Oreochromis niloticus: one gene and its partner. The protein of the gene in region 1 interacts with the protein of each later gene in a biochemical or structural test. Links are inferred from orthologs where the notes say so. Each region holds a gene or a part of one and is shown on either strand. Other genes may lie near its edges.

Region 1 (11,061 bases):
GAGGAGGCGGCCTGCAAAGGTAGAGGCTGTGAGAGCAACAACGACGTCAATGCTTTCTGTAGACCTTTTTAAAATACAGTAAAATATAACGCATGATTTAAGTTATTATAACAGAGTATGTGAGGCTGCAGACAGGAAAAAGGAACCTGAAGACGTCATTTGGTGGTTTTAGCCGTTTAGCTGTGGAGGTTTGGATGCATGCACGGACTGTCTGATTTCTGTTTGTTAGCATCTCAAAGCTAACTACTAAACAGACGACAGACGGACATCCAGCTTAGACACCCTTAGACTTTAAACACAACACTCTTTAAAGACTTTGGATGCAATAAACAGAATTGAGACACTGTTAAAGCTTCTAAACATGTTAAAAACCCCTACAAGGCTTCATGCACCCTTACAGATTCTAAAGCCTTTTAAAAATACTCAAACAGGCATTAAACAATATTAAGAGACTCTGTACCATTAACAGAGTTAAAGACGCAGCAAAAGACAAAACAAAGAAGAAGACCCAGAGGGTTGGCATCTACTTTCAGCAACATTTCTGAAGCTTCTTCCTCCTGATTGTCACTGAAGACCTTTTAATGACCCACATGCAGGAGGCAGATAAATGCCAGCAGCCAGGTCTCACAGGGGCAGCCAAACAGGTTTTCCTCCTCTTCTCAGCAGCCATTAAAAGACGCCGCCTAAAGCGATGCGGGTCAAAAATGTTTATCAGAGGCCCATTCGAGGCATCAGCAGTCGGCTTACAGTGAAAATAATATCTGTTATCATCCCTGCATCCATATACAGTAAGCAAACATGCAAACAACCAGGAAATCAGCACTAAACACCCCAAAACTCGTGTATTTTGTAGGTTTAAGCCTGTTTTTAAGTCACTTGGATTAAGAAAGAGCCTGCATCTGTTACTCTGTTTGGGACCTCACTTCTCTGGTTCTCTTAGCTGCTCGAGGTTGTTGTCCAATAATCAAACAAACAGACAGTCTTTAGCATGTACGAGGATCACTTAGATTCTTAAACATGTGGTCCAGAAACATCATGCAGGATTTTACTGCAACCATCCCAACACGCTGCAGTTCTCATGCCACAAACTCTTCAGGCGATTTTTACCGACTCTGTGCCTCTAAATCGTATCGTCGGCACAACACTGGTATAAAACTTTGAGTGATATTAAAGTGTCATGTTGTCATGTTTAAGTTCCCTGGTGTGTGCAACAGCAAGACAAGCCCAGACATGTCTGAGAGCGAGAGCAGCCTGTGATGATGATTTAGTACCTAAAGCAGTAGCTACTTCAACACCCTCCCAAAAGCACACACCATCGAGCAGTGCTGCATGATGCTGCAAATCAGAGGTAAACACAGGGCCAGTGTTGCAGATACCAGTACGCATATCTGTAAAGGCAAGTTAATTATAATTAATATAAGCATATATTAAGGATCCTGTCGTGCTTGGATCAATCCAGTACCTATACCAGCATTGGTATCGATATGATCGATATTTGCATTGCTCTGCACCCCTCTTTCATCGATAACACCCCGCTTCCAACAAAGAAGACACGAGCAGCCGGTGACGTGGGACCCAAATCTGGACAAATGACCATCGAGCGTCGCTAGCTGGATAGAATCACTGATGATGCCGTTACATCGGTGAAAAAGCAGCTCTTCAAAGAGCTCGACCAGCATTTAAGATCCCAGTTAGGAAATGTGACAAAATCGTGCCTGACGAGTTAGTTACCGTTAAACTCGAGTGTTAACGCCTCATCACTGGCTGTAAAGTCGCTGATTTACATTTACAGATGCTGCTGCAGAGCTGCAAGCATCACTGGTAGGATGATCCCAAATGTTCTAGAAATATCGTGACATACCTCATATCGCCCACTCCTGCTGTAAATTAAAATAATGTTTGGCATTTTCATGTCATTCGCCCACACAAGGCGGGCAGTTCGGGCTTCAGGGTTTTCCCTGCACATCTGGACTCGCTCTGCCTCCACAGCCAAAAACGCTTCAACAGTCATTGTTACATTTCAAACTAGCATCTGACACAACGACTCTGAAAACCTCACATCACTTTTCATCTTAAGGGAATTTTACGGACTCTAAAGACCATTTAGATTAAATTATTATTGTTGTGATGTTAAATCTCCTCTTTATTATTTCTGCATTGGTCATCAATGATGAAACATGACAGGGGTGTGTAAACGCTGAACATGACACAGAGGACACAGAGCATTGTTAAAGAGCTCACGCATCGTTTTTACTGAATACAACAAACAGGTCCAGGTAACTGTGCTCACTTTAAGCCGCTTACTTCTCATTCTCCTACAGCGTCGGCCTCATGTTTGAGATTTTCATATAAGCAAACACAGTGAGAGTCTGTGCTGTAAAGAAGGAGGACGTCTACTGAATCACGACACAGATGAATGTGCCTTTAACATGATTGGCTGTTCCAGTAATGGTTTCATATACAGGTGATTAAACTGTATATGCCAGATGTGGTTGGATGTTAGATCCTCCAGTTTAACAGAAACCGTGAGTTAAACCCCCCCCCCCCACACACACACACAGTGCTGGGCAGTGAGAGGTGGATGTGAATGGTAAATGGCCTGTATTTGTATAGCGCTTTACTAGTCCCTAAGGACCCCAAAGCACTTTACACAACCAGTCATCCACCCATTCACACACCCATTCACACACACATTCACACACTGGTGATGGCAAGCTGCATTGCCATCACCAGGTGTGCGGGTGTGTTTAGTTTTTTATTAGACAAAGGTGTGAATGAGATCACATTAAAGGTGCTCAGGAATCAGCTGCCTCTCCGGGAACTCTTTCATCCCGCTGTTGCACACCAGCAGCAGTTTTTTAAGTTAATTTGATATGTCTGATAAACAGATTATTGGAAAGATTACTCCCATGTCCGCGCATTTTAAAAATAGGAAATGGCCTTTGTTTAAATTTAAAGTATTTTAAATTTAAATAAGTACTTTAAGATTTTTTAAGGAGGTACATGAAAATAAAAGTGACTCTTTTATGCTACCTTATAAAACCTCTCACACTGCAAAGACATAAAAGCCGCGATAGTTAATCGATTAGTCGATCAGTGGACTGTATTGATTATGAGCTGCAGACACGTGAACGATTAAAAGCCAGAAACATGGCGGAATAAACAAGAGACAGAAGTGAGATCAAAACCATCTTAAAACACGCCGAAGCAGCCTGGAAACAGAGCTCACAGGTGGCTTTACCTGCCTGCTCAGGTGGGTCAAAAATCAGAGTTTGAAGCAGGTAAACATACAGAAACACGGCTGGTTAGCCCACGATGCTAACCAGGCTAACAACATTAAAGGTCAGCAACGAAAAGCGCCGTTAAAAAACTTTGACAACAAACTTATTTACCTGTTTTTCTTCTTCGTTTCAGCACCTTAAACCCGCTCACAGCTAACTCGCAGCTAGCAGCGCTAACAGGAATGCGGCTATCCGAGCTGGAAACAAATTCTACCGAAACAAACTTCACCAAAACCCCCCGAAAACACCCCTACACCCCAAAATAGTCCGAATCTAGGGTTTAGATAAAGCCCTTGTGAGTTTAAAGCGATAATCTGTCACTTTTTAAATCAAAAACGAGCCAAATTTCTGCTGCAGCAAATCTAAAGCCAACTTTTTTTTTTCCACGACAGCAGTTAGAGAAGGAGGGGATGCGTCTATCTGCTGGCACAGAAATAAAATCTGTACACCGATAAAATTCTCATTTCTTTAACTTACATCCACAGTTAGACACACTAAAATTATTTTATACACACCCACACACAGGCCTACTTAAAGCTGATTCACTGAAAAATAAAAATCCTAAGGGAGTGCGTGTACTCCAGTAAATAGACGGCGCTCAGAAGTCGGGCTCATACCCGCAGTCTGGACTGAAGTTTGGGATCGTTTGACTCACCTTTCTTCCTGAGTCTTTACTCTCTCCTGGATGTTTCGAACCTTTTCTCCCGCGTTATTTCATCCTGTAAGACCGGTTCGAGCTCGCTCCAGCCTCCCTCCCTCCGTTATTAGGGGAGAAATCTATATTTCCAGACGTTTTTCGTCGGCGTCCTCCGCTCCGTGCGTTCCGCTCGCCTCTGCGGGTTTGCGCTGCTTTTAGACAGAAAAGCAAATACCAGGCAGAGATCGTCTCTTGGTCTCGCGATGACTCACTGTGCATAACAAAACACTTCCGGTCGGAACGAGGGGCGTGTGGAAAATTTGCACGCGCTCACTGTTTCACCTCTCAGGTAACTTCAGAGGACCTGAGATTAAATGTGCATCATCGTCTGATTGAGGGTTTGAGGGGCCCAGGTGTGAGGCTTTCGCGTTCTTCTATTTTCACTCCCTAAAAACCCCCAATATTTTTTTCTGTTTTCTTACTTTTTCTTCTTATCTAGCATTATTTGCATCCTGTGTACCTGAATGACCTGCAAGTTAGAACATGTTTGTAGTATGAAGGATTCATTAATAAGCGCAATGTTATGCATGCAATTGAACTGAATTTCCCGGAGGAACCCACCCGATGGATTAATAAAGTTTTATCCAATCGAATCTAATCCAGTCAGTGGCGGTCCTAGCCTGTTTGGCGCCCTGGGTGAACACTCCTTCTGTGCTCTATTTGGAAGCAGCCGCCCCCCTCCCCTTTCGACGGGTTGTGTGAGACTTCAAATCATCAAGTTGTAAACTGTAAATTTTAAATTGTTATTGATCCCTTTACCCCGAGTCCTAAAGTGTATATTTATTTTTTTACTCTTAAATATTTATTGTTCGTTTACTTGCACTGCTGTAACTGGAGCCTCGTCGTCTCGTCTCTCTATATACTGGACTGTATGTAGCGGAGATGCCAATAAAGTTTACTTTGACTTCAGCACCGAGCAGGCGCACCGAGGGCTCTCGCGCTCACTTTTCGCGTATAGAATTTCAAAAAAACATTGGTGCAAATTATAAGTCTGCATCATGATGTCCGGTGTTTTCGTGTTTGTTGGTTTGTTTTTATTTTGTTTTATTTTGCGAGTTGGTTATTAGATGCTGCTCCAGCCAGCCAGAGACTCCCCCGCCGCCCCGCCCTCTCCTCCCTGTGCCGCAAGCAGCAGGCGCACCTCGCAAACGAGGGCGCCCTTGCTCCCAGCAAATGGGCGATAGAAAACCGATCAGTGCCTATGCCATCCCCAGTATGCGCTGGCATGACGTCGGGGCAGCATGAGTACGAGCATTTTTTAAAAAAAAAAAATTTTTTGCCGATGCCCGTGATGCCGCCCCCACCACGATGCCACCCCGGGCAACCGCCCGTGTCGCCCATATCAAAAACCGCTACTGAATCCAGTACTAGGAAGTGTATTATCACCCTCTCTGTACACTGTTTTTGTATATAGTAAATACTATGATTGCTCTATTCCTTGCTTTAATTCTATTTTCCTTTTTTTAGTTGCTTTGTCTGTATCTTGTAAAAAGTGTAACTTGACCTGGAGGGCTCTGTGCAATAATTCCAGCATGCATGGACCGTTGGTCCTGTGCGCAAATTGCAAATAAAAACCTTCAGTCTTGAAATACAGTTACCTGGTCCTGAGGGCTCAGCTGGGAGCGTTTTCCCTTAATTTACTGATTGTATATGGAACGAAACATTCAGGTTCAAAAGTATTATGGACAAATAAATGAGAGCCTCCGGGCAACAGCTGTTGTGATTTGGCTTATCTTAATGAACTATGACATAAATCATCACGCGGCAGCTCGTTATGACTACAAATAACTCTTTTCTTTTGGTATTTTTGGAAGCAAAGGAAACACCATCCATCCATTCGCTTCCGCTTATCCTTTTCAGGGTCGCGGGGGGCGCTGGAGCCTATCCCAGCTGTCATAGGGCGAGAGGCGGGGTACACCCTGGACAGGTCGCCAGTCTGTCGCAGGGCCAACACACAAGGACAGACAACCATTCACACTCACATTCACTCACACATTCACACCTAGTGACAATTTGGATTATCCAATTAACCTATCCCCACAAGCTGCATGTCTTTGGACGGTGGGAGGAAGCCGGAGTACCCGGAGGGAACCCACGCAAACACAGGGAGAACATGCAAACTCCACACAGAAAGACCCCGGCCTGATGGTGGAATTGAACTCAGGACCTTCTTGCTGTGCGGCAACAGTGCTAACCACCGTGCCACCATGCTGCCACCAAACACATGTTGTAAAATCTCATTTTAATTGTTCCAGTCTCAATGATTCAGCAAAATAAAAAATAAAGAAAGTATAAATGCTGAGCTTCAACATTGCAAATAATAATAATAATATACTTATATGAGGTATATGTTATACTGATTCAAATGCTAATTTAGAACAATAAATAAAATGTTATTAATTCAAAACATGGTATTTGATGATATAAATATATATTTGGGCTTCCTGTTGGTTCTAAAAGCTGAGCCACATATTTTCTTTTTCTATCTTTACAAAAACACATAAATACACGATCCTCCGAGTCAGCATCATATCTGAGGTTTTTTATACATCTGGAAAGTTGATTTAAAAATAATTTATAAACTTACTTTATATTTTTAGCCACTGGCATTCTGAGGCTTAAACAAAAATAACTGCCTAGAAAGTCAGTGATGTAGTCTAAGAGCTGTTTTTGGCGGCAGAGTGAGACCTCTTCCCCTTTTCACTCCTCTCTGAGTCCAATCTCTGCTGCTCAAAAACCCGCAGGCTTTTATTTTGAAACGCAATCAGGAGAGGGCACTAGCTCCCTCTGGTGGCTCCAAACTGAACAGCATTATCATCGCTCAACAAGAACGACGCTCGTTATCATGATGACGATGATCTGATGATGAGGATGAAGATGGTGATGATGACGATGATGTGTGGGTGTGACAGTCATGTTTTTCGGTTGGAGTTACAGAAAACTGATGACAGATAAAAATGAAAGAGGAAGTTCATAAAGGTCAAACACGAATACTCCTCTTCTCAGTACAATGACTCATTTTCTCATTTTTTATTTCGTTTTTGGTTCAAATATTCTTAAAGCTGCAGATATGAAAAATAGAGATTTTTAGGGGATAAAAATCAGATATTAAATAAGGAACCACATTTTTATTTTGTTCCTCTGAATATTTGCTGCCTCCAAACCATCAACGTGTCTTTTAGACCCCATTCCTACAAAACTGCTCAAAGAAGTCCTGCCATTAATTAATTCTTCGATCTTAAATATGATCAACCTATCTCTAATAATCGGCTATGTACCACAGGCCTTCAAGCTGGCTGTAGTTAAACCTTTACTCAAAAAGCATCTCTAGACCCAGCTGTCTTAGCTAATTATAGGCCAATCTCCAACCTTCCTTTCATATCAAACATCCTTGAAAGAGTAGTTGTCAAACAGCTAACAGATCATCTGCAGAGGAATGGCTTATTTGAAGCGTTTCAGTCAGGTTTCAGAGCTCATCACAGCACAGAAACAGCTTTAGTGAAGGTTACAAATGATCTTCTTATGGCCTCTGACAGTGGACTCATCTCTGTGCTTGTCCTGCTAGACCTCAGTGCAGCGTTCGATACTGTTGACCATAATATCCTATTAGAGCGATTAGAACATGCTGTAGGTATTACAGGTACTGCACTGCAGTGGTTTGTATCATATCTATCTAATAGACTCCAATTTGTGCATGTAAATGGAGAGTCTTCTTCACATTTCAAGTTCACATTCCATTTGCGCAACATCTCTAAAATTAGAAATATCCTGTCCCAGAGTGACACTGAAAAACTAGTTCATGCATTTATTACTTCCAGGCTGGACTACTGCAATTCATTATTATCGGGAAGTCCCAAAAACTCCCTTAAAAGCCTTCAGTTAACCCAAAATGCAAGCCCTCATAGTAAGTACCATCTCACCCTATTAGAGCACTTCGCTCTCACACTGCAGGCTTACTTGTTGTTCCTAGAGAACAGAGATTGACAGACCACATGACTTTCGCGCATTGCATTCTGGGTACCCGTGGCAACAAAATCAAAACACTGCATCAAGCGCTAGCATTTCCAGCACCAGTAATCATTAATTCTGCAGTTTTAATCCCTACTTGCATTTTATTTGCCCCAAAAACAGTTATGTACAAAACGACGGAGAACACGGCAGGTCCGTACAAAGACAGAGTTGACGAAAAGGCAAAAAAAAAAAAAAAAAAAAAAGTACGAGGAAAAAATCAAAGGAGTGAAAGGGTCAGACCCGTACGAGCGTACAGAGCGGAGTAAGGACGTTAGCGTGCTGCCCAACTTCCATCACGCACATATTTATTACTATATGGTCCTAAGTGTGAGTGCAGACACTCACAAGCTGTTTATTAACTTCAGATCCCTGCAACAAGCCCAGGTCCAGTTTACTTTGGTGATTTGGACTATTCCATTTCACAGCTGTTGTTACATTCTTTTCCTTTATCTCCTGTACAGGCAAACGCATCTATTTGTCGTTTCACAACATTTTCAGATCTAATAGAAATAACATGAGTGTTTCGTAATTCATTCAATTTATTGTCTTTATTTATAACTGGCATTCTCCAAAAGTTGAATCTGTTCATCTGGACGTAGCGTTTTGTGGGAGAAACGTTTCGTCTGAGACTGAAGAAGTCACTTGGATGAGTGACCAAACGTTTCTCCCACAAAACGCTACGTCCAGATGAACAGATTCAACTTTTGGAGATTTACTTTCCTGGATGATTGAGAATGCATCAAGACGATATAACTGGCATTATTGTTTCATTCTATTATAGAATCTTACAAGAAAGAAGCAAAATTGTATTCGATTATGCTTTATTAGCTGCTTCGGTGAAAAACAACAATGCAAAACAACATACTGGAAAACAGTTATTCATCACTTGATTGCTTCAATACAACCCTTGGGCACATATATGCGGGACGTTTCGTGGCTGTTTTGATGTCGCTCTCTCTCTTAACCGATCAAATCTGGCTGTGGTAGCAGCTTTAAACTCTGTCTGACCCAGGCTGATAGAGGCGCCCAGTCTGCATCGCATTCCAGCATTTTGTAGGCTGGTTTTCCTACAAAACACAACAAACATTAGCCCGCAAAGCCACAGTGAACAAAGCAGCATAGCGCAACGAATTCAATTCAAATCAATATAAGACTTATTTGTAACCTACATCAACAATTATGTTATGATAAATTACGTAATAACTACAACAGAAGACGTACCTTTGTGGAAATGCTTGGAGCAGACTAACATGTGAGCTGGAGTGTTCTGGGACGTTATATTTGGTCTTCGAATGGCTGCAATCCAGGCCATCCGTCGGCTCTTTGTTACTTCGGAAACATGGCTTGAACAATTTTTCTTCCACGACGTAATCCGATAAAAACGATTTCTTTACCCGTCGGCTTCCCGTGGCTGTCATGCGACCGGCTATTGCATTTAATAATACAACAGCTTCTTGCCATTTTGTGTTTGTTTTTATCGCTGTGTGACTGTTTTCATGTGAAAGCCTGCGTGCGCTAGTATGGCTTGCCACTCGTTCCCACAATCCTTTGCGGTTTTACCCCTGAATGACGTCACATTTTCAATCTCTATTTCAAAGTAGAATGGGAGGCAGAGCCTTCAGTTTTCAGGCCCCTCTTCTGTGGAACCAGCTTCCAGTTTGGATTCGGGAGACAGACACTATCTCTACTTTCAAGATTAGGCTTCAAACTTTCCTTTTTGCTAAAGCATATAGTTAGGGATGCACCGATCCCGATACTGGTATCGGGTATCGGGGCCGATACTGTAAAATGTGTGCGTACTCGTACTCGTAAAAGTTAACCGATACCATGAACCGATACTTATGTAGCCCGGATGGGAATTTGGGAGTAGATAATCATAATTCCCATGGACTTGAACGCCACATAAGGTGTTCACAGTTCACAGAAGAGAACGGCATGGAGAGATGCACGAGGTTAGCTGAACCAAAGTGAGAGACTCGGCTAGTTTTACTGAGGTTAACTTGCACAAAAGAGTGTGTGACTAGAAAGCTAACCGTGTGAGAGCTTCGCAACAGAGTGTGGGTGAAGTGACTTTTTGTTTCAACGGTCGCACCACCGTCCGTGGAAAACTGTGTTTCCAGCTACGACCGCCGAGGCTAAAGGCTAGCCCGGACTGCTTGGCTGCGCCACGGAGGCAGCTGCTGTGGACTGTCGGAGAGCTGGACAGTGACTGGCTAACGCGCTGTAGCAGAGACAGCATCGGGTCCGCAGGGAGTGGATTTAGTGTGGGACTGGTGAACGGCGACCTACCGAGCAACGGAACTGTAAGTCAGACTTTTGTGCTCTTACTGGGGAGAAGAGGATTTTTCTCCATCGTCCGGCGTGAGCAGCAAACAGGCCTGCAACAAGTGTGAATGTGAGTGTGTGTGGGGCCCATGTGTGAATATTGTGTGTTTAGTGGATTTATATAACGTGTTTTGGAGTGTATATTAGTGAGTCACTTACCAAAAGGTGATAACATAAGTTGGGTTGTTTAATATAATTTGAAAGGGAATTATTTCATTTATACAGTGTATTTCATTTGGTTAAGGAATTGGAATATCAATATCATAAAAAAGGGATGTGTTGTACAGTATTTGTCTCTGCCCTTACGTTCAGTAAACGTTTCGTTTGTGTTAAAGAGTTGTGTGGGGTCGTTTCTTTACTACCGGTTAAGTTTAACTTGTGTGTGGCAGAAGTATCGGTTTTTGTACTCGGTATCGGCAAGTACTCAGATCCAAGTATCGGTATCGGATCGGTTTGAAAAAATTGGTATCGTTGCATCCCTACATATAGTTAGGGCTGGACCAGGTGACCCTCAATCCTCCCTTAGTTATGCTGCAATAGACGTAGGCTGCCGGGATTCCCATGATGCATTGAGTTTTTCCTTTCCAGTCACCTTTCTCACTCACTATGTGTTAATAGACCTCTCTGCATCGAATCATATCTGTTATTAATCTCTGTCTCTCTTCCACAGCATGTCTTTATCCTGTCTTCCTTCTCTCACCCCAACCACTCACAGCAGATGGCCCCGCCCCTCCCTGAGCCTGGTTC
Region 2 (11,200 bases), on another chromosome or scaffold:
GTCTTCAACGGAGTATAAACTATCTTTCCTAAAACTTTTGAAAGAGAATGCAGCTTAGAGATAGGACATTTGTTCAATTTCTTCAGCTGAGGAAACTGGACAAGTGGAGGACAACAGAAAAAGCGTTGGGCCTAAAAACTATCTACAGCAGATGAAAAGCATCTGAAAATCATGTACTTGTGAAATAGATACCCAGCAAAGATTTGGCACAGGACCTGCGAGATGCATCTGGCCCTTTAGTTGATCCATCTACTGTTTGAAAAAGCCTCATACAAAACGGTCTCAGTGCCTGTCAAGAAGTTATCCTCAAGAAGACAAGACAAAGACAAACAGACAGGAAAAGCTGGGGTGTGAGAAATTACACAAATCAGTAGTACCAGTTCTCATGGAGAGATGAATCCAAATGTGAAATTTTGGTTCAAATAATTAAAATCAAATCACTTTTATTGTCACATCACATCATCACAACGTTGTCAATCATCAATAAGCACAGTGAATGTCTACAGCCATCTGTAAAACATGGTGAAGGCTCTGTCATGGTTCAGGGCTTCATTTCAGCCAGCGATAATGGAGATCTTATCAAGACTGATGGAATTGTGAACACAGAAAATTATGGCCAGATTTTCATCCACCGTGCAAAATCATCTGAAATGCTTCTTTTTTCAGCATGACAGTGATCTCAAATACACTGCCAATGCAGTAAAAGCATAGCTTGGTGGAAAAACACACAACGAAACACTATCAGTCATGGATTGGCCTCTCCAGAGCTCGGACCTCAACATTATTAAAGCAATATGAGAGCATCTTGACAGAGAATGGAAGAAAAGGCAACCAACAAAGGGAAGCTTTGACATGTCTCGGCCTGATGAGTAAAGGTGGCCACGCCAATTGTTAGAAATAATTACAAGCGTGTTATGTTTACACATGTTTCAATAAATTTCTATTAACCATTTGCCTATTAAAAGATAAAGAAATGACTATAACTTAAGACTTTTGCACATTACTGTGTCATTCCTACATTATAATTAATTAAATGAGGTGGTGGGATTGATGTCTGAGAGTATCTCCTACCACTGTGATCTTCACTACTTCACAACTATAGTAAACCCTAAATAGTAGTATTTGACATCTATGATAAAAAATAGAACCCAGATTCATGATAACATTGGTGAATGCAGCATTGATTACCTTTAATTTTATATTTCTTTCATTTTTTTTCTTCTTTCATTTCAACACTATCATGTCTTCTTCGCCCACACAGGGATGTTAGCATATCCCAACTGCTTGGAATTCCTTCCCTCCGTCTTGAGAGCACACACTGCATTTTAAAACTTGTCAGATCCTTTTAAGTTTTATTTGAAAGTATGTAATTACATTCTTAAAAGCATAACAGGTCGCCGGAGTGATTTACGCGCTACATTAAATGTCAAGTGTCGAAAAGATACTGTTAACACTCGTGTGTTTTTGGAGCGAAAAGGTAACAAAGTGGAAACATTTGGAATTGGAGCAGAAGCTTTGAATGCACTTCACTTCTGGTAAGTTTTGAATTTTGTGTTGGTTCATTTGGGGGAGCTGCGGCTCTTCTGTGGCCCATTTATGATTTATGAGGTTAGGCTCTTTGTCACTGATAGAATTAAAGAGTAGATAGGCAGTCTGATTTGTGTCACTCATTTCGATACAGCTTTCTGCTTTCAGTCGGGGTCACTGAAGGTGGTATGTAACTTTCTGAAAAATGGATTAGTAAAGTTTTGGAAAGATCTGCCTTTCTTTTTATTATGGCTTGAGAAAGTAAAATATGGCAGCAGTTTTCTTGCTGAATGGCAACTTTGTGCGGTGACCTCATAACTTGATTTGGAGAATATTACACAGTCGTTCTTATCCAAAAAGAATCCTAGATATTCAATTTTGAAACACTGGTCACAGGATCTCTCAGGGCACTGTATCAGCCTTCTGCATGCATGTTATTTAATTATGTTCTATTCCTGGTTGATTTCCATCTATTCAAGTCTAATCTATTTTTCTCTCGAGCTCCAGAGCATAACACTTGTGAAGTTCTCACCACTGGAGAATTTATTCTGCTACCTCTTAGCTTGGCCTCTTAGGGTCTGTGGTGTGGCCAAAGTCAATTCCCCCTCTCAGATTAAAGGAGTATCTTCAAGTGCCAATCCAAATGGTGATAAAAAAGCTTTTTAATCCATTGAGAAAGTTTCCCAGCGTAACCCCCCAGAGTCCCGGCATCAGGCGTTGCTGCACTCAGGCTGTGTCTGGACAGTGTTGAAGCCCAAGTGTGTCTTCCTGCACCCTGACAGAGAGAGGGAAAGGCTCAAAAAGCCCCCCTCTGCAGCTCACTTGACCAGGTCTCTTTGATAACATCTGGCAGGGCCAGGATTGCACCAGTGACAGCATGAGATGGACAGACATTAAAGTCCGCTCACTCACAGCTCCACATCATTTGACACACAGAGCCTCAATCTCACATGCCCGAGTGTCACTGATGATCTCTCTTTGTAACGGGCCTGATGATATTTTCCAGCAAGAGTGCCAATAAGATGGTGACTTGGCATGGCTTCTTTTTATTGTGAACTCAAAAGGCCACTGATACTGTCTTTGCTAAAGTTTTTGTGTGTTTCTTTGACTACAGAAGAACAAAACCCCAAGTAGGTCGGCAACTTTTTGCTTAAACATTCTTTGTAAAAGGGGAGTTATAGGGTTTATTTAAGCATGACATCTGTTGAACGGGGTGGGCTGGAAAAGATGCTGGGCCACCTTTGTTCTCGTGAAAGAGACTGGAAGCAGTTTGGTGGGGGAAAGAAGAGTTTCAACACAGTTATCCCAGAGAGGCTCAGACCAGTTCAACATCCATCCTTCTCCATTTTCTTTTTGTTTACTTCTAGGTTCATGAGTTTACATGCCAATTCCATTACAGGGATTAAAATAGTTTGTCCAATCTATCCTCAGACTTTGCTTCCCTTGTCTGTCTCCCTCCCTGAACCCCCCACACCACTTACAGACTTTTAGGTCTCAAGGCTGGGTTAGGGGATTACAGGACAAGCAACCCTCAGCCCGAGAACCCAAAGAAACACGAGGCAGCTGTGCTGAAGAATGTTCCAGTGAGAAATCCAAGCATTAGCAGTGAAAGCTGAGGTTTGATCAATGGCTGTGGCGCGTGTCTGCACTAGTGAGCACTTTGCAGAGCCTCTGAGGTAGAAAAAAAGAGAAAATTAAGGTGTGTTATGACATCAGGCTGGAGGTCTAGGTGCTCGGGTCACCTTTGAGTTGCTGCTGATTAAGGGCTGGTGTTCACAGGTGAGCAGCTCCGAGCAGGATTTAGTGACACAGGTAGGTGAAATCACTCCACTCTCCCAGCTTACGTTAAAACAGCAAAGCTGCTGACCTTTCCCCGCAAATAGCTGCAGGCAAATGTCAGAAGATAAGTGAGCTCTTTGACCTGCTCAGTTTAGTCAAAGAAAAGAAAAACAGGATGAACTTTCCATGCAACTTCTACCTTCCTCAATAGATGTTTGCGCTACCAGAATTCTGATGTTTTTACATGCCTGAATTAGACATTTCGGGAATTTTTTGCCATCTATAGAAAACTTTGGACTCAGAGGTTCATGTTGCAAGCAGTGGGAAAGCTCCTCACTGACTACCTGTGGTTCTAAGCCGCCCGCATTTGATAATCTCCTTCGTAACTGAGGAGCTCAAAGAGGCTAAACCCAGTCAACAGCTTGGAATGGGAATCCACCACATTACTTGCACTCAAGACAGTTTTGAAAGTTAACCTTTCAGTCCACTTTAGGGTGACTTGTGGTGTATTTCGGATTTTAAAAAATCCCACCTTTAATCTAAAAGGATCACAACTTTTACTAAGAATATAGTAGAATATTTTTAAAGTGTGAATATATGTGTGTTCATAACCATACGATGAGTATGAGTAAAAAATATTCCACGTAATAATGATAATAAAGATCTTAGAGCTTTACTGAGACAACTGTTTTTTAATCATCTAAAAAAATGAAATCCACTCTCATGCAGGCAAATCACATACTTTACATCTATCATATCTGACAGGTGACGTGTGCTTGAACTGTTTAACTTTTCTTTTTTCACTGGTACAGGATGGATTGAGTTTTATCTTATCTGTCCAAAATAAATTGCGCCATAATTCAGGGTTTTGTTTTTATTTTTTTTCTGCTTGTTTGTGTTTACTTCACTAGTTTGAAGCTTATCTTCAGTTTAAAACTTGCAATACAAAGTCATGCTGGTGTAATCTTGTTTTGATGGATGAGACAACCACAGGTTACGTACATCACCCTGATGCAGTCTTATACATCTTTGTATCTTTGTGACCTCACAGAAACATCCTGTCCATTGTTAATTCACCTAAAAACACCGAGAGGATTATTATGTTGGAATTTCCACCCGCACATTAAATAAACTGTCGAAGAGGAAACAGACTCTTTTTGTTGGTTTGTCTTTTTTTTTTTTTTTTTTTTTTTTGCTTTAATTAATCATAAAACCTAAAGTCAAATAGGACTGAATCTCTGAATGGCAATCAACATAATGAAGAGGGTTTAAGGACTTGAGAGGAACCAGTTTAACAGCAAAAACGTCTCTAAAAGGGCAATCTATAAGATTATTAGTTTAAAAACTAATCAAAAAAGTAAAGAATTCAAAGCTATAACAATATGGAAAAGATGTTTGTATTGTATTACAGACATTGTATCAGCACTGACTCATATTATTCCACAATGCAACTTTTAACTCAAGATGTGATATAATGTACCATCCAGTATTTACTCAGTCTATCATGAGAGAGGGAATTACTAGTGTGTATTATTCTGACATGCTGTCAATCATGATGCAAGACAGGAAGTGGAGATATTAGCAAGTAACAATCAGAAAACTGGATTATTGTGAAAGCCATCGAGCTATAAAGTCTGCTTTAGCCTAGCACCACTTACTGCACACAAGCTTGCTCACATAATTCTGATTTCTATGCTGTAGTAGTACTTATTGATAGAAGACTGGATGCTCTCCGTGCACCTTAGAAATCAAAGAAATCAAAAATAAGGAGGCAGAATAGCACTCCTAAATATCCAGAGTGACCGCCGTGGATTTTTTTGTAAAACAATACAACAACCCCTGCTTGATTCTACCATGCACAGCTTTACAAAGCAATTTACAGTCTAAAACTCATCCTGCACCAATACACAGTACATCAGATGGAATTTTAACAATACTGCAACTCAGTGGGGAACCACAACCAAATGAATGCAGGTGCATCATTTTTTTGTTGTTGTTGTTTTTTTGACAACAGGAAGTTTAAGTTACATTATACAAAGAATAATACAGTAACTGTAGTACTGTAGTAAAACTGAAACTGCACGACCTGACACTCATCTATGCATTCTAACTCTTGCCAACCCTACAAGCCTGTAATATTAAATAAGACTCTTTGGGCACTGGTGTGATTATTCAAGCTGTCAAATCTTCAGTTAAAATTGATTAAATATGGATCCTCAAAAAAAGAAAAAGAAAAAAAGACAGGAAAGGAAAAAAAGCTCTAAGTCTGACCACAAATAAATGAGCAAGGTCTTATCAAAAAGACAAAATGCACATGTATACAGTGCATAATGCGGGAAGACTAAAATCTGGGAAAGAACAAGTGGAAATAATATTTATTAAGACTGCAAACAAACTAAAACAAATCTGTAATGTTTCTGGCACATTTTAAATGCTTTTTAAACATATACAGGAGCAGAAACGTTTTAGTCATAACACGGGGAAACGGATTTTTATCTTTTTAAGCAGCGGTTCTCGCCAAACGGAATCATTCAAGGAATAATTTCAGTCATACTTTTGAAAAGCACGATTGAAAAGAACATGATGGCTGAATTTACATCTTTTTTAGTACGTGGTAATAATTGTGATTATCTGCTTTATTAATATCGTTTTCTTTATCACCGTTCCACATCCGTAGTTCTAAAATGACAGTCATTTTAAAATCATGGCACAGATGGCCCACTGTGGGGTTAGGCAGATTGAAACGGCCCGCTTTAACCTGTATGTTACACAAGTACATAACACGGTGATACCAGTCATATAAAATGTCTATATGTTAAATGAACCCTCTACTAAGTTTAAAGTTCGGTGGAACCCCTCATCAAAAGCACTATCGAAACATGGATCCACGGCATGCGATCGTGGAATAATTTCAGATGACGATAACAATAAGAAGTGCAAGAGACAGAAAAACTATTTTGTAAAGTTGTACATTAGTGGGGACACATCACTTATATCGGGGAAGCCAATCACTTTGAATACATTTCATACATTTTGATGAAGGATTATAGAAAAAAAACTTTGACCAATAAAAATGTACGCACGTGGCCACGAATATATATTTTTTAGTAATTAAATATGCATAGCATTTTTAAAGTTTACTTCGGTAGACCAGTTGTTTACATCTGCAGGTACGCAAGGCGTTTATTTATTTATTTTTTTTAGGTAAGGTCACTAACATGTTGCATATGGAGACTTACCGGGCGTTTGACCCGCTGGGCGTTATTTAAAGTCAAAATGCAAAGTTTCACATAGTGAAAAGGGGAAAAAAAGCGCAGTGAGTTGTCTTTATTTAAAGTGGAGGAGGAGGAGGAGAAAAGGGGGGGGGTTATCCAAGGTGTTTGAGACAGATGAGGGAGGTGGGGGTCGTGGAGGAAGGAGGAGGCAGAGAGGGTAAATTGGGCGGACACATAAAAACTGCAAGGGGCCATAGATGCTGGATCATTTGAAAGCCGTCCTGCGCGCCGATCGCCCTAGTGAGCTGCACTGGAGACGAATAAGAAGCCCCGCTGCAGAGCCCGAGCGCCGGCCTTCACAACTCTTGTCCGTTCTGAGGTGTCGCTAAAGGATTAATGAGCCAAAAAGGCGCATAATTTCTCCTTTAAGGCTCATTTCGGCATTTTTTCGGCGTTACGCCTGGACTGCCTTACACCTCCCCTTTCATATTCACTTCATTCGAGGATACCTGTACCTCTACTGATGGTAAGCGCTCACCAAACGACACACATCAAAGAGTCAACAGCGAAACTTTAAAAAAAACAACAACACAGACACACACACATCTTTGAGCAAGAGAGGCTCTCGCTGAAGTGTTGTTACTTTAAGTTTGGGTCTCTCCTTTGTGCGCATTTAAGCGACTCCGCTGAGTTTTAACACCGTTCCGGGATAAATGTGCGAGAATAAACGGGCATAAAAAACACCTCACAGCGTGCGGAACTCATTCAAAAACCGATATAAAAGTGCATTTTGGAACGAATGGCGCTGTGATAATGGCCAAACAAGTAACAGGTTAAAGCCTATTGTGCCCGAGACTTGAGCCGATGACAAATCAAGATGAGGTCATGTCCAAACACAGCGTCAGATTTTGCTGTTTTGTTTTTTTATGTCTTTCACTGAAATCGCCAGCGTTGCGCACGTGTATGCATTTTATAATTCAGTTTAACACTGATTAAACACCTGTAACTGCTTCTTGTCATCCAAGTATGAAGGCTTGCACGAACGATGGAGGTTGACAGATCAGAGATGAGCGATAATGAAAATAAGTTGGGGGGGGGGTTCTCGCAAAAGATGAAGTTCATTTCATTTTACCGCACGAGTTTTGAACAATAATTGACGCGTAATTGCGCCAGTTGACTGAGCTGGCGTCCAGTAATGACATAATGCTTGCAAAAACATGAAATACTAATACATTACAGCTGCAGAGTCTTGCAGATGTGAGTCCGGTTTGTAGTCCACTCACGTGTTTTTCACCTGTTTGTAACAAGTCGTTGTAAAGATAAGTCCTGTCATTTAATCCGGTAAAACTGCAGCAGGGAAAATTGCGGCCTGCGGACGCCCGGTCTCCTTGGTACTCAGTTTAGTTTGCAACTCAAATTCATCTCGTGAACTGCAAAGGAGCAGACACACACACACACACACACACACACACATATATATTTTAAAGAAGTATATTAAAGAAGTCACATGTCACTTCTGGTGATGGCTTTAATTTTTTTCGGTCGTTTTCCTTGTCAGCCTCCGTCTGATTGTTCTGGGTTTTCCGTTATTAACGCACAATTAACAACACAATATTTTTTTTTTATTTGAAAGAAAACACGTGCCATTGACATTTCCCCCTTTATCTTTTAATAAAAGAAAAAAAACCGACAGGATACATTAAAAAATCCCACACACCTCATCTTTTCCCTCAGACGTTTTGCCTTTCGTTTATAATGCCAGAGATACATCGTTGTATGTTGTAACTTCGAGCTTGAGAAATTAAAAAAATATCCAAACCTGCACATAAAATAATGAATTTTGTTAGGCTGACTGGTTAAATTTTATTATTTAGCTTTGTTAATTTGGTTACTATAAAGCAAAAAAAAAAAAAGACAGGAAAAAAAAGAAAGTGTTTGACATTTGGGGTTTTGTGTGTGTGTGTGTGTGTGTGTGTGTGTGTGTGTGTGTGTGTGTGTGTGTTTCTTTACCTATTGCTCATTGCAAGAGCAGGGCATTATTTGGGGACTACCATTCAAAGACATAAATGTCTTCTAATTATACAGGCAGTAACCAGAACCAAGCATAGACATTGCTGCTGATCAATAAGTATAATCCCCGTGACTAAAATGATAAAATCAGGCCTCAGATTTGTTCCACAGTGACCTGTTGCTCTCCTCCCTCTCTCCCTCCCTCATTCCCATCCTCCCTCCCACCATCACTGTCAAATTCCTCAGGAAACACATCTGAAGAGCCATGTGCATAGTCTGATCACATTATCTCTGGTCAGAGAGAGACAGAGAGAGAGAGAGAGAGAGAACGAGAGAGGCCAAGGGGGATCAAGCAAAGCCAAGGGCAGTTTGACTGCTGCAGCCTAATTGCACCCTGGTCTGCAACCGTTGCTGCAAAATGTATTTCTGTCACTTAGTGGAAAGCTTTTCTGTGTGTCCAGCTTTGTTTTATAATCTCATGTTGTTTTCATTGGTTTGACTGAGAGGGCAATAAATGACTGCACGTTTTTGATGCGTGCAGAGGTGTGGGGGGCGATTTTGTTGCTGTTGTTGTTGTTGTTGTTTTTTAAGAATTTGGTGTAAAATTATTTCTTATCACTCTTGGTGAAAACAGGCCAGTAAACACGAGCACACTGGCTTGAGAGACACAGAGCTGAGAGTTACTCCCTGTCTGCCTTACATCTTCTTTCATCATCATCACACCATTTTGAGTGTCTGTCTGTTTTAGCCTGCAGCTTTGTCAGTGGCTGGTTACAGTTACAAGATGTTCTGTATGGTCAGTGTTTTTGAGTGCTATGAATCCCTGTAATCATGGGAGAGGCCCTCTCTGTACAATGAACGTTTGTTGTCAGAGATGTACACACACAGACTCTCTCACACACACACTCACACACACACATTTATCCCCTCACCCCATGGGTAATAGAGCTGATCATGTTCTGAATCCTCCTCACTCTTTTTGCTGCAGTTCTCACGAACATGCAAATGGTGGCACACACTTATGCGGACACGCACGTCAATGCATGCGCTCCGTTTTGCAGTCGTGCGCGCGCACACTGCATGTCACCCTCTCTTCTTGCACAGTGGATCTAGTGTCATGACCGAGAAAAGGAGGGTCAATCGGAGGTCAAAGTCTAATACCGTTAGGGAAATAGATCCTAGATTGCATGTATAGTGAGGCATGAAGGAGGCAAGTTAATCACATAGATATGAAGCCAGGCATGCTAGCAAGCTGAAAAACACAAACTGTATGTGACACACACACACATGCAGATAGAGTGTGTGCTAATATGCATCCTCACTGTGTAGTAATTCTTGGTTGTGCTCCAGTGGAACAAGATCCAAATGATGACCGAAGCCTTGTGTCACTTTGGAGTGTTTGTTCCATGATGCTGTTGTTGTGGTCACTTAAAATTCAGTAACCTTGTTAGTGCGATTCAGCAGCATTTAACACTTCAAATGAGGTGTACAAACTGAATCATTTGATCCATATTGTTCTTGTTAAACCTGCCTGTTAAAGCTCTGACTTTTCCTTTTTGGAAAGTGGTTCTTTTTTGTGTGTAGAAGTGTTTTTTTGTTTTTTTTTTAAAATTAGGGTTCTGGAAGCACATTCTGCTCAGTATATCATGCATACATCAGTGGTGAATGTACTACTGTATGTACAGTGTTGTCAAAGTAGAGAAGGCCTGCCATCAGCGTCACAACCCATGTGAGCTCTAAAATGGAAGAGAAGCTCTTCTAAGAAGAATCTGTTTAGTTCCTTGTCTAAAATAGGTCATCTCAGTTGCTTGGAGGGGTAAAGGCTGAGTAGATTTTCAGTTTTAGTAAACCAACAGCCCTCTTATCTTGAATAAAGAGTTTACTAATTGTGATCAGACTTGTTTTGTGCTCTGTGGGTTCTGACGTTTTTCTGTTGAACCTGGCGCTAATCAGATTTTGAGCTTGTCATTAATGTAAAGTAGGAAGCTGCTTTTCAAATGGGTGTCTCTGAAATAGATGTAAGTGTTGATTAAGTTGTATTTTCTTACCAAGGTGGGTGTCAAGCGTTAGGTATCTGCTGTCTGTGTTGTAGCACATGCCTACTTACATTCCACTTACAGCAAATAGCTAGCTTACCCACTAGCCAAAATGATAAGCCTTAAAGAGACACTGGGTCTCTCTCTTACCCATAAACACACACATACACAAGCTGACACAGATAGACACACAAGCTCCTGTGCTACTCTTTGAAGAAATGCTATGTAACAACCTCAAGTGTTTGCAAGTGTCAGTTCACAATATCCCTGTGTTTTTTGCCTTCATCTTTCAGGAACAGGGTCACTTCAAAGTTCTCCTGCAGCCGCCCAACGCCACCTGACATTTCCTAGAAGAACGGGTCCATTGCCTGCTCCCAACAAACATGGACTGTTTCCCCATGCTTTATTTTCTGTCGGTAAGTAAGTGGGCCATGCCATTTCAATTTGCGGCATGTGACACGCCGCTACATCTTGCATCTCCCTTCTCTCTGTCCGCTGACTCACTCGTTTATGTGGCATCTATCCAGAGGAAGAGCTTTTTCTTATAAGTGTGTGGCACAAAGTCCCAGGTTTGAGCCATGGTTTGTTTGAGCAGAATGTGTAAGACCGAGACTTCTTATCAAGTTAAGAATT

What was found.
Region 2: the proteins of bone morphogenetic protein receptor type-1A (region 1) and bmp4 form a complex in vitro, tested with the Homo sapiens proteins (3 studies listed by BioGRID and IntAct, with this or other methods). The link is inferred for Oreochromis niloticus from reciprocal best matches to the Homo sapiens genes BMPR1A and BMP4.

The regions. Positions count from the first base shown.
Region 1 is NC_031978.2:119,295-130,355, reverse strand, and holds the start of bone morphogenetic protein receptor type-1A, read right to left. Parts: upstream 4,175-11,061; 5' UTR 3,937-4,174; intron 1-3,936. UniProt on the Homo sapiens protein: On ligand binding, forms a receptor complex consisting of two type II and two type I transmembrane serine/threonine kinases.
Region 2 is NC_031983.2:16,786,598-16,797,797, forward strand, and holds the start of bmp4 (bone morphogenetic protein 4), read left to right. Parts: upstream 1-6,759; 5' UTR 6,760-7,047; intron 7,048-10,860; 5' UTR 10,861-10,983; intron 10,984-11,200.